Arabidopsis thaliana: one gene and its partner. The protein of the gene in region 1 purifies or fractionates together with the protein of each later gene. This does not show direct contact. Each region holds a gene or a part of one and is shown in the gene's direction. Other genes may lie near its edges.

The links.
Region 2: the proteins of AtRZ-1b (region 1) and VRN1 fractionate together in Arabidopsis thaliana (co-fractionation; one large-scale study listed by BioGRID). This does not show direct contact.

The regions. Positions count from the first base shown.
Region 1 is NC_003070.9:22,338,087-22,342,809, forward strand, and holds AtRZ-1b (RNA-binding (RRM/RBD/RNP motifs) family protein with retrovirus zinc finger-like domain-containing protein), read left to right. Parts: upstream 1-1,722; 5' UTR 1,723-1,795; intron 1,796-1,800; exon of another isoform or gene 1,801-1,912; intron 1,913-1,989; 5' UTR 1,990-2,002; coding exon 2,003-2,128; exon of another isoform or gene 2,129-3,087; coding exon of another isoform or gene 3,088-3,102; exon of another isoform or gene 3,103-3,133; intron 3,134-3,219; coding exon 3,220-3,728; intron 3,729-3,818; coding exon 3,819-4,062; 3' UTR 4,063-4,211; downstream 4,212-4,723. Other genes in the region: AT1G60640 (stress response protein), read right to left, coding at 88-147, 233-298, 381-440, 532-597, 681-767, 917-1,152, 1,250-1,427; CB5LP (cytochrome B5-like protein), read right to left, coding at 4,503-4,723. UniProt on the Arabidopsis thaliana protein: Binds RNA and DNA sequences non-specifically. May be involved in tolerance to cold stress.
Region 2 is NC_003074.8:6,547,586-6,553,913, reverse strand, and holds VRN1 (AP2/B3-like transcriptional factor family protein), read left to right. Parts: upstream 1-1,879; 5' UTR 1,880-2,345; coding exon 2,346-2,405; intron 2,406-3,586; coding exon 3,587-4,034; intron 4,035-4,130; coding exon 4,131-4,199; intron 4,200-4,298; coding exon 4,299-4,498; intron 4,499-4,588; coding exon 4,589-4,827; coding exon of another isoform or gene 4,828-4,837; exon of another isoform or gene 4,838-5,149; intron 5,150-5,259; coding exon 5,260-5,362; 3' UTR 5,363-5,421; intron 5,422-5,504; 3' UTR 5,505-5,787; downstream 5,788-6,328. Other genes in the region: AT3G19000 (2-oxoglutarate (2OG) and Fe(II)-dependent oxygenase superfamily protein), read left to right, coding at 1-246; ETP1 (EIN2 targeting protein1), read right to left, coding at 6,153-6,328. UniProt on the Arabidopsis thaliana protein: Essential protein. Involved in the regulation of vernalization. Acts as a transcriptional repressor of FLC, a major target of the vernalization pathway. Binds DNA in vitro in a non-sequence-specific manner.

The DNA.
Region 1 (4,723 bases):
GTTTTGCAAGAATTTGGTTGAGTAAATGACTCATGGGAAGAACACAAAGCACTTGTTGACATTTGCTCGAACGTCAAAAAGAAAAACCTGAGATGGCGTCCCTGAATTGTCAACCTCTTCGTTTTCTCCATGTTTGGTCGATGAATCCTGGATGTTCATATTAAGAAACGAATAGATAAGGTTTTTGACAGGTCAACCATGGTCACAGGGTTATAGAGCAGGCAAATTTTACCTTTTCCTGTTTTTGTGATCTCCTAAGCTCTCTCCGAGCTCTTCTGTTTCCTTTTATCTGCTTCTCCTACATTTAGGATATTTGCAAGACTTTGGTTAGGACTCATTGGACTAACACAAGCATTTGATGGCATTGTCTTAAATCTCACCTGAGATGGCGTCTCTGGATCTTCAACTTCTTCGTTTTCTCCATTTTTGGTCAATGAATCCTAGACGTTTATATTGAAAACACGAATCAATTAGGTTTCCAACAAACCAACCATGGTCACAATGCTTCAGTATTGAGCAAGCTACATTTACCTTTTCCTGTTTTTGAGATCTCTTTCCCTGTCTTTGTGATCTTCTGTTTCCTTTTTTCTCCTTCTCCTACATTTAAGATTTGTGCAAGAATTTGGTTAGGACTCATTGACAAAACAAAAAGCACTCGTTGGCAAATTCTCTAATGTAACCTGAGATGCTGTCTCTAGATCGTCAACTTCTTCGTCATCAGTTCTAATCTTTCCTTCTTTCACTAATTTCTCCATACGAGCATGCTTCTGAAATGAGTCAAACGACAAAAAATACTATCTCATCAACTACAAGACTGATGAGGAAAAGCTCAAAACTAATCCCGTGCTTATCATCTACTACTTGATTCCAAAAAGGACCAAACACTCAAATGCTAATTCAAAGCTACCTAATTTACCTTTGATGAAACATGTGCTTGCATTGTGTTCTCATTCAAGCAAACAACGGTTGGACAATATCTGCATTTATAAACCGATTTGGATTGTATCATACAACCGAGAATATAGTTCTCTTCCTCTTCTTCGGGTGGTTCTTCTAAAAAACGATTCATTGACATCTTCTCCAATGTCCCACCATAGTCATCAGCATCAGAGTTATCATCACCATCATCAACATCAGCGTCTTCGCCAGCAGCTATAACAGAGAATAAGCAAAGATTTTACCAAAGGTTCTCTGAGAGTACAATCACAAGAGAACTAAAAGAGATAATTGCTCAATTGAAGAAGCAAACCTGGGGATTCATCATCTCCTGAATCATCACCGTCCTCGGAAACTTCTGCAACAGAGTCTTCTTCTTCAGATTGTTCTGATTCTTCCGTCTCAGGATCAGAGTCAGAAGAGAAGCACGATGAATCGGATCCACTGTCTTTATCACCATGCTCAAGCTTGTAAAATCGTCTCTTTATCATTTTTACTTCGTGTTTACTCTACAGAGACAAAACCCAAATTTAGAATTCGAAATTCTCCAACAAATCAAAAGTAAAGGAGCAAACTTCGGATTAAAGTAAATAGAAAAGAGGAGACTTTCGTACCGTGAGTTCCGCAGAAGAGAGCTTGGAGACTGAAAAGGGGAAAGCTTTGCTAAAGAGAAGGGTTTTAGGGTTTTTAGGTTATTTTTGTAAATTAAGTAACTTTTATAAGGGTGTTTTAGTCATTGAGTGGACAACATTTTATCCCAATAAATATACTTATTGAGTTGAAGTTAATCCTCTGCAGTTATTTCATTGTCCATCACCAATCGCCAAAACCGCAGAAAGGTCTGACCTTTGGATTAGCGGTGAGTAATTAGGGTTTATCATATCGAAATTTCTAGGGTTTCTTTTTCTTACTTCGGATTTCAGCAAGTTTATTGACCCGAATCTTTGTTTCAATAGAATTTTTTTGAGTTGTTTAAGTAAGAGTTGGAGTTTCGCTTTGATTTTTCGAGTTTGATTTTGTGGGCTAACTATGTTTATGCGTTTTTGGTTTCAGTGAGAGTTTCACAATGAAAGATAGAGAAAACGATGGAAATCTTGAGAGCAGAATCTTCGTGGGAGGGTTATCGTGGGATGTCACAGAGAGACAGCTTGAGAGTACCTTTGACCGCTACGGGAAAATCACTGAGTGTCAGGTCTTGTATCGATTCTCGTACTTTATGATCAGAAGTCTCAGAGACTCGTTTTGAAACCTGTGTTTAGTGAATGATACCTCTGAGATTGTAGGATAGTTTTGTTTGATGAACCTAAGACTCATCTATTCTGTAGAAGAGCACACACAGATATTGAGGTTTATTGACTTGTTGAAGGATGCAGTCGAGGAATTAGTAGAGCTTTCTTAGGAAGTAAACATGCATCTCAACCTCCTCTTGATCTGAAAATCTGTTTGAGAGCCGTATGTTTAGAAATGCAAGAGTTTTGAGATAGATCATGGCTCTTGTCTCAGCATCAGTGCAGTAATTTTGGTTTGACGTCACTGTGTTTTGTTGGATATTATGATTAAATTGCAGCTGAGCTCTCTTTTCAGTGGTTTTGACACCAATCAGGACTAACCATCTTTTATTCTCTTGCCTGTGGTATCTGCTTTAGTAGTCACTGAGATGGTTTTCTTGTACTCATTCATCATGAGCCACTAGTTGTTGTAATTGTAAAAGTACAGTTATTGGCACATGTAAGCATCTCTAAGTAGTCTATCAATACACCAAGATGATAAGTTTCTGGTCAAAAATGGTCTTGATCAGAATATTAGTCTTCTTTTTTAGGTCTTGATCAGAATATTAGTCTTCTTTTTTAGTGGAATTAGCATGGAAAACGCATTCCTGTGGATTTGTTGTGGGAAACTGATTTGAGGTAACAGGTCTGTTGTAAGGGTTAAAAGTATGGTTGGCTAGAGGCTAATCTCCAACATCGTTTTGCTAGGATTATTGTTGTGGTGATACTTCTTGTGGATTAGTATTTCTACAAGTATGCAGCTGTAGTTTGACTTTGTGTTGTGTGATTCTAAGGACTTGAAATGAAGTAAATTTGTGAATCTTGCTACCGTCTTCTGTTTGCTTGTAAATGTTCTGAGTTTGCCACTTCTAGGACATGCTATATGAGAGATAGGAATGTAATACATCTGCTTATTTCTTAACTCTAATGTAACATCTGGTTCTTAGTAATATATCTTGTTCCTGGCTCAATATGCATTTTAATAACATTATTGGTCTTCTTTGCGTACTTGTAGATTATGGTGGGGAGAGATACTGGGCGTCCACGTGGTTTTGGGTTTATTACATTCACTGATCGCAGAGGAGCTGATGATGCAATTAAGCACATGCATGGAAGGGAGTTGGGCAATAAGGTCATCTCCGTGAACAAAGCTGAGCCCAAAGTTGGTGGAGAAGATGTAGACCAATTAAAGAAAGGTGGAGGCTATTCATCTCGAGGGAAGGGAACCGAGGATGAGTGCTTTAAATGCAGACGCCCTGGTCATTGGGCTCGAGATTGCCCATCAACTGGTGACGATCGAGAACGGTTCAGAGTTCCCCTTGCGATGCGCTCTCGTATTGGAGACATAGATGGACACCGAGATCGCTATGGAGATCGTGATCTGGAGAGGGAGCGGGAGCGGGAGCGTGAGTTTGACCGCTACATGGATGGACGCCGTGACCGAGATGGGGGACGATATAGCTACAGGGACCGCTTCGACAGTGGAGACAAGTATGAGCCTCGTGATCACTATCCATTTGAGAGGTTTGTAGCTCTTGTCCTCAGGTCTAAATAAATGTTCCAACATGTGTTCTTTTAGGAAAGTCATGACCTTTTGATGTATTAACAATGTAGATACGCACCACCAGGAGACCGTTTTGTGAGTGATAGGTATGGGATGCCTGAACATCATCTTGAGAATGAATATCGCGGGAGAGAGAGAAGCTATGACAGGGACAGATACGCAAGGGATACAAGTGACAGATATGGAGATATGGGACCGATACGCGATGAGGGAAGACCCTACAGAAGCAGACCAGGTCCTTATGACCGTCCTAGCCGTCCTGGAGGCAGACCTTCATCATATGAACGTTGGTAGTTTGTTTTGGTTAACCAGATGTCAATGCTTATGCTTTGGGATTTAGGTCTATATCAGAGATAGAACTCGAACTCGAGATCTCTGTTATGCTTTTTTGTCGAATATTATGATTCTTCATCGCAGTAAAAAAGTTATGTTCTTATGATCCTATTGATTCCCATAAAGCAATTCAATAGATTAAACTCAAAATTGATGGATTTAAAACACTTGAGACAGAGTTAAGCATAGAACACTTGAAACAGAGCATAGCTTCACCATGAAAATTAAGAGAAAGGAGGAAACTTTGGCAATACAATGGAAGAAGAAGTGTTACACTAGCAAGACAAAAAGGTAATGCAATCTCAAATCTTCAATGAGAAGAGAATTAAAAAAGCCATCTTTAAGCTTACTTAAGAAGAAATCTCAAATCTTCAATCAAATCTCAAATCTTTAAGCTTTTACTAATGAAGTTCCCCGATGTAGAAATCTTCAATCATGTCGAAAACACGAGTGGCGTGTTGAGGTCCGAAGAAGCCATCAGTAGAATCATCACCAGCATGATCAAGAATAGCGTCACCACCAGGATGTTCTTCAACATAAGAAGTAATATCATAGACTTTATCTTTGATTATGATCCAACAATCGTTCCTTTTGTTATGTACTGCGACTTCACTCTTGCTGT
Region 2 (6,328 bases), on another chromosome or scaffold:
AATGATGAGTATTGGAGTGCTGAACATAGAGTGGTCGTGAATACAAGCAAAGAGAGATTCTCAATACCATTCTTCTTCTTCCCATCACATGAAGCCAATATTGAGCCATTGGAGGAGCTTATAAGTGAGGAAAACCCGCCTTGTTATAAAAAGTACAATTGGGGAAAGTTCTTTGTTTCAAGAAACAGAAGTGATTTCAAGAAACTCGAGGTTGAGAATATCCAGATTGATCACTTCAAGGCTTAGTTAATCACATTATAATTAAACCTTATGTTGATTTCTATTCGTTCTTTTTATATAAGTTAGCCAAGTTCATATTTCCCAAAATGCACGCGAGATTTTACATGTTTATGTTTAAAATAAACGGTCATCAGAATGTTGTGTCATTTGCGATCTTCGTCATTTTTCATTTCCAAATATACGTAGACTGACCTAATGTTGATAAATGCGATAGTTCTTAATTTCACATGTTTAAAATTCGAATTGGGATTTAAGAAAAATTCTCATCAAATATTTATCATTAGTGTATATATATCAGTGTTTTACATTTGTTAATCCTAAATAATAAACCGATCTGAAAAGTTGATAAATGCGTTGTCAAAAGACAAAATATACATCCAAACAAATCACGTGATTGCCTTCAACTTGCCACGGTTCAAAGATTTAACAAATCTTCTAAAACACCAACTTAACCCACGAATACACAAGCACAGAGTGGTGGTAAACATACAAGTTAATGAGTTATTCAAATGAGATTTTCAATATCATTCTTCTTCAGCCCGTCACAAGAAGCCAAGATTAAGCCATTAGAGGAAGTTTATAAACCGACAAAACCTGCTTAGATACAAAGAATACTAGCTAATGTGTTTCAACAAACTTCAAATTGACGATACGTTACATTCATATTAATCACTTCAGAGCTTGATTATTCAAATTATTTTTTCTACTGTGATACATATATACACACATGTTTTGCTTTTCTATGATTCTATCTACATTTTCATACCGTTGAATAATTTATGTATGAATTACGATGCAATTTCCTTCATTATGCTTGAATAAAATGCTTTTGGACATGCATGCGATATTGGATCTACTTTTGGATTCTATTTTTAAAAATCAGCGAGTTTGTTGCTTTGTAATTTTTAATTAGGCATCAAGAATTTCTAAAATGCACGCGAACTGGTGAAAAGAGGAATGTTTACGTTTACCCCTTTATTTTCTTACAGCTCATAAGGATACTGTCAGAAGACAGAACCAAGGCTCTCTGACTATAAATTGGAATCCATTTAAACATAATGTTATGACCAATGATGGCCAACGGTTAGCCCAAACTAATTAACTACAAGTCAAGTTCCAATATTCTAAGGAGAAATAATAGTATACTAAACATACATTAGAGAGGTTAAACTTCTTTTTGGATTTAAGTGTGTATGCATAGGCTATTTATTCTTAAGTATAACTATTAACTGTAGCTAGATTTATACAAGAAATACATAAAACTTTATGCATGTGAGGTAGCCATGAATATACGTACATGTTGCAATCGATTATACATGTTGTATTTGGATTTCTCTATACATGTTTTAACTTGTCATTCTCTAAGTATATACATACCATTAATACTGTGGGCATGAGTTTATGATAAGACTTTTCTTTTGGAGACCAGTTTTGTTTTCCTTTCCACCTATATTTGTCTATAGGCTTCACGGTACACTAGTTTACAAGTGTTTTTATATGTTCTAAATAAAATTGAGATTTTCCGGAACGGTATGATCTGTTTGCAAATAAGGACGTATATATAACAGTATCAAATATATTTGTTGTTATAAGGCAATAATATATTTTCTGAGATATTGCGTGTTACAAAAAAGAAATATTTGTTAAGAAAAAAAAAGATGGTCGAAAAAGGGGAGTAGGTGGGGGCGGTCGGCTTTTGATTAGTTAATAAAAGAAACCACACGAGTGACCTACCGATTCGACTCAACGAGTCTACCGAGCTAACACAGATTCAACTCGCTCGAGCTTCGTTTTATGACAAGTTGGTTTTTTTTTTTTTTTTTTAATTTTTTCATCTTCTTGGGTTTGGTTGGGTCACTCTTCAGGTCAGGTGTGTAAAAAAGAAAGAAAGAAAAGAGAGATTGTTGTGTTGTAACCCCTTTGACTAAAATCTAATGAACTTTTTTAACACAACAAAACTCCTTCAGATCTGAAAGGGTTCTTCTTCTCTCTTAGTCTCTTTGTCCTTTTATTCTCCGTCGTCGTTTCATGATCTGACTCTCTGGTCTTCTCTTCTTCTTCTTCTTCTTCTATTTTTTCTTACTTCGTCACTGTTGTGTCTGAACATGCCACGCCCTTTCTTCCATAAGTTGATTTTCTCATCCACTATCCAAGAAAAACGTCTGGTAACTTACTCTCTCTCTCTCTCTCTCTCTCTGTTCTCCTTCTCCTCATCTTTCAAAGTTTTGATTTTGTGCGAAATTGAGGGTTTTCAAGGTTTGGAATCTGGTGAACGAGTTTGTAAGATTATGCCTTGTGACACTCTTGCTTGATTTCTTACAATTCACTTGTATTGATTCTTTGTAAGAATCGAGTCAAGGTTGTGCTTTTATCTTCTTACTCTTCCCTGTTTTGGGTAATGAAAAGAAGTTCCATTTTTGAACTTTGTGTTGTCTTATTGGTCAAATGAGAATTTGTGGGTTTCCAATGGAAGTCTGCAAGACAGTTTCTTTTGGTCATTGGTTGTGTTTGGTGGGAAATTGGGTATTTGATGGTATATCTGTACTCTGACAGCATATTGTGTGTAGTTTGGGAATTTTTTTTTTTTTTTTGAGTGATTTGACTTTTGGAGGACGATTTGATTCTGTCAGATTGATCAAATTTCTTCTGAGGAGAAAAAGTTGAGATCTGTTTATGGTTTCTCTATTATAAATGTCTGTTTTGTTTACTCTATTTTGACTGTTTTCTCTGTTTGACTTAGGAATGTCTGAGATCTTAGACTCCTTATTGAGTATTGTGTGGCTTGTGAGTGAATCCCTAAAACTGAGTAGTTGACTTGTTTTGAAGGTCTCTATGTATTGTGCTTATGTTTTAAAGTTGTCTACTTTATTTGATACAGTGATTAGTCATCACTTGTACAGATTCCCCCAAGAGCATTGTTTTGAACAAATCCAAATTTGCTTAGCTCTCCATTTGGCATTTAAGTGACTAGATTTTCTCTGGAATAATGATTTCGATTAACACAGGCATTTATGTGGAACCAAGTTTGCAAATTATTAATGTGATAAGATCATAGGAGTCGTGTAATCAATCTATTCAGAGATAAATGTACCATTTTACATGTGTACTAATGGACTGTGTCTCCTTGTTGATGCCTTCTCTAAACTGAAATATGGCCTTTTGGTTTGTGTTTTTAAATTAGGTAAAGCCGTCGTTTCTTCAGCTACTGTGTTTATTGGATGTTTTTGCTGAAAAATGTCTGTTTCGATTTGATGTTCTCGCAATATTCTGTGCTGTTCTTATAGATATTGTGGACATTTATATCATTATATGCTTCTTTATATCTCATACCGGCATGCTTGTGCAGAGGGTCCCAGATAAGTTTGTGAGTAAATTCAAGGATGAGCTTTCGGTTGCTGTTGCACTCACAGTACCTGATGGTCATGTTTGGCGTGTAGGACTAAGGAAAGCTGACAACAAAATTTGGTTTCAAGATGGTTGGCAAGAGTTTGTTGACCGTTACTCCATTCGCATTGGTTATCTTTTGATTTTTAGATATGAAGGAAACTCTGCCTTCAGCGTCTACATTTTCAATTTATCCCACTCTGAGATCAATTACCATTCCACCGGTCTCATGGATTCCGCTCACAACCACTTCAAACGCGCCCGTTTGTTTGAAGACCTTGAAGATGAAGATGCCGAGGTCATCTTTCCTTCTTCTGTGTACCCATCACCACTTCCTGAGTCTACAGTACCAGCCAACAAAGGGTATGCTAGTTCAGCCATCCAAACCTTGTTCACTGGACCAGTTAAAGGTGATATTTATAACCAACTGATTCCCTTTATCTATCGCTGATTACGCGTCTTATCATTCTTTTGAGGTTGATGCTTGATATTTTCCTTATCTCCAGCTGAAGAGCCAACGCCAACCCCAAAAATACCTAAAAAGAGAGGGAGGAAGAAGAAAAATGCTGATCCTGGTAAGCACTTTTCCTCTTTGAAATGCTTCAGACTCGTTTTCAGAGGATTCACAGATTCTTCCTCATGATACATATATCCTTTTGATATTGTCCTTACAGAGGAAATAAACTCATCAGCTCCGCGAGATGATGATCCAGAGAACCGTTCAAAGTTCTACGAGAGTGCTTCTGCGAGAAAGAGAACCGTGACTGCAGAAGAAAGAGAGAGAGCCATCAATGCAGCCAAAACGTTCGAACCAACAAACCCTTTCTTCAGAGTGGTTCTGCGACCATCCTATCTATACAGAGGTTGCATCATGGTAATAAAAAAACATCTTAGGAAGACTTAATCTTATCGGTGTCTTCACTGATCTCTAAAAGAAGCCTTCTGTTTCTGTTTCTCTCAACAGTATCTTCCTTCTGGGTTTGCTGAGAAGTACCTAAGTGGGATCTCCGGGTTCATCAAAGTCCAGCTTGCGGAGAAACAATGGCCTGTTCGATGTCTCTACAAAGCCGGGAGAGCCAAATTCAGTCAAGGATGGTACGAATTCACTCTAGAGAACAACTTAGGAGAAGGAGACGTCTGTGTGTTTGAGCTGCTCAGAACCAGAGATTTCGTTTTGAAAGTGACAGCCTTTCGAGTCAACGAGTACGTCTGAACAAAGCATTATGGTGTGATCATTCTGGATTTGCAAGTACAATGTCGTGTAGGAGTATCTTAATTTAAAAACAACTAAAAAACTCTCTTCTGGTCTGTGTCATTATTGCGTCAGTGTCTCGTTTTTTCTCTCGGGTTTACTTTGTGTTATCGATGTGGATAAGTTGTTTTTACCTCATTATATATAACCTCTTGAGTGGAACTCAAATTGTTTGAGTAGAACAAACAAAGTTAGGGTTTAAGAAGAAGTCTGTAAATACCTAATCTCCATCAAATTTGAGTAGAAAGACAAACTGTTCTGGTGGAATACAAGGAGGGAACTTGAGATAACAAACTTAAGAATAGCCTTCAAGCCAACGTCTAGAATTTGATGAAGTTGTTGTTTGATCACCTCTGAGATAATTGGAAACCCTCTTCATGCAGTTTGCTTGAGGATACTGGTGAAAATGGGAGTATTGAAGGAAAATGCATATATAAGATTGTAGGTGGGAACTGTGGTAGCAGACATACAGAGGTGAAGCAGTAGATTACATAAGAAAACATCCAGATTCCCAAGGTGCAGGCACCCGCTCTTACAGCTACAAGGTACGGTACGTAATTGGCACATGCTTAACCATGTGATCACCACTAAATTGTGGTTGACTGTTAGATTGTCATGCTGATGTCAGGGGATGCATAATTGAAACGAGAGGAAGATGCAGTGCTGGTCAAAATCCCTGCAGTAAACTCTATGGATCTCTTGCTGATATGCGTGCGTTTATATTTGCATAACACTAGGTTAAACGACAATCAAGGAGTGTAGTATCATGAGTAAACATTTGATATGTTTCAACTTTGGATGCCCCAAAAAAACCACAAGCTTAGCTGTGGTTTTAAATAATTTGTGGGTTATGTTTTGGTCCAATATATGCTAGATTTATGCGAATGGGTAATAATGACTTCTAGTTGTTTGTACAACTTGAAACTTAGGTGAAAAAGAAACTCGGAGCTTCGAACATGAGTTACTTTTGTCATTGAATTAGAAATGGTTGAAGTTTTAGACACAACACTTGTTCTCTAGACATATACTGTACCAGACATGTTTTGATCATAAAACTTAAAAAAAAAAGAAAACCGTGTGTAAATCAAGCAAGGGACAACTACAATATTACAATCTTATTGAGATATCAGTTCAAAGGATTATTCAAAGAACATGAACAAGAAAATTTAAGGGCCTCTTCTACTTCCAGGTCGCTCGATCAGGGGATTATTCAAAAAATATGACAAAAATAAATTAAGAAAAACACAAAAAACTAATATTACATGTAGAGGTTGTTTTAGTCGTCACCTCTTTTTGTTTTGCCTCCTCCGGCTTGCTCGATTTGGACCAAACTTGGAGCGTAATTGAGAATAACTTGCGAAATTCCTTCAAGTGAATCTGTAGCCTCTCCCTCTCCAGAACCTACTTCATCGACTTTATTATCCTCCCCGAGAATGTATATCTTGTCGGTGA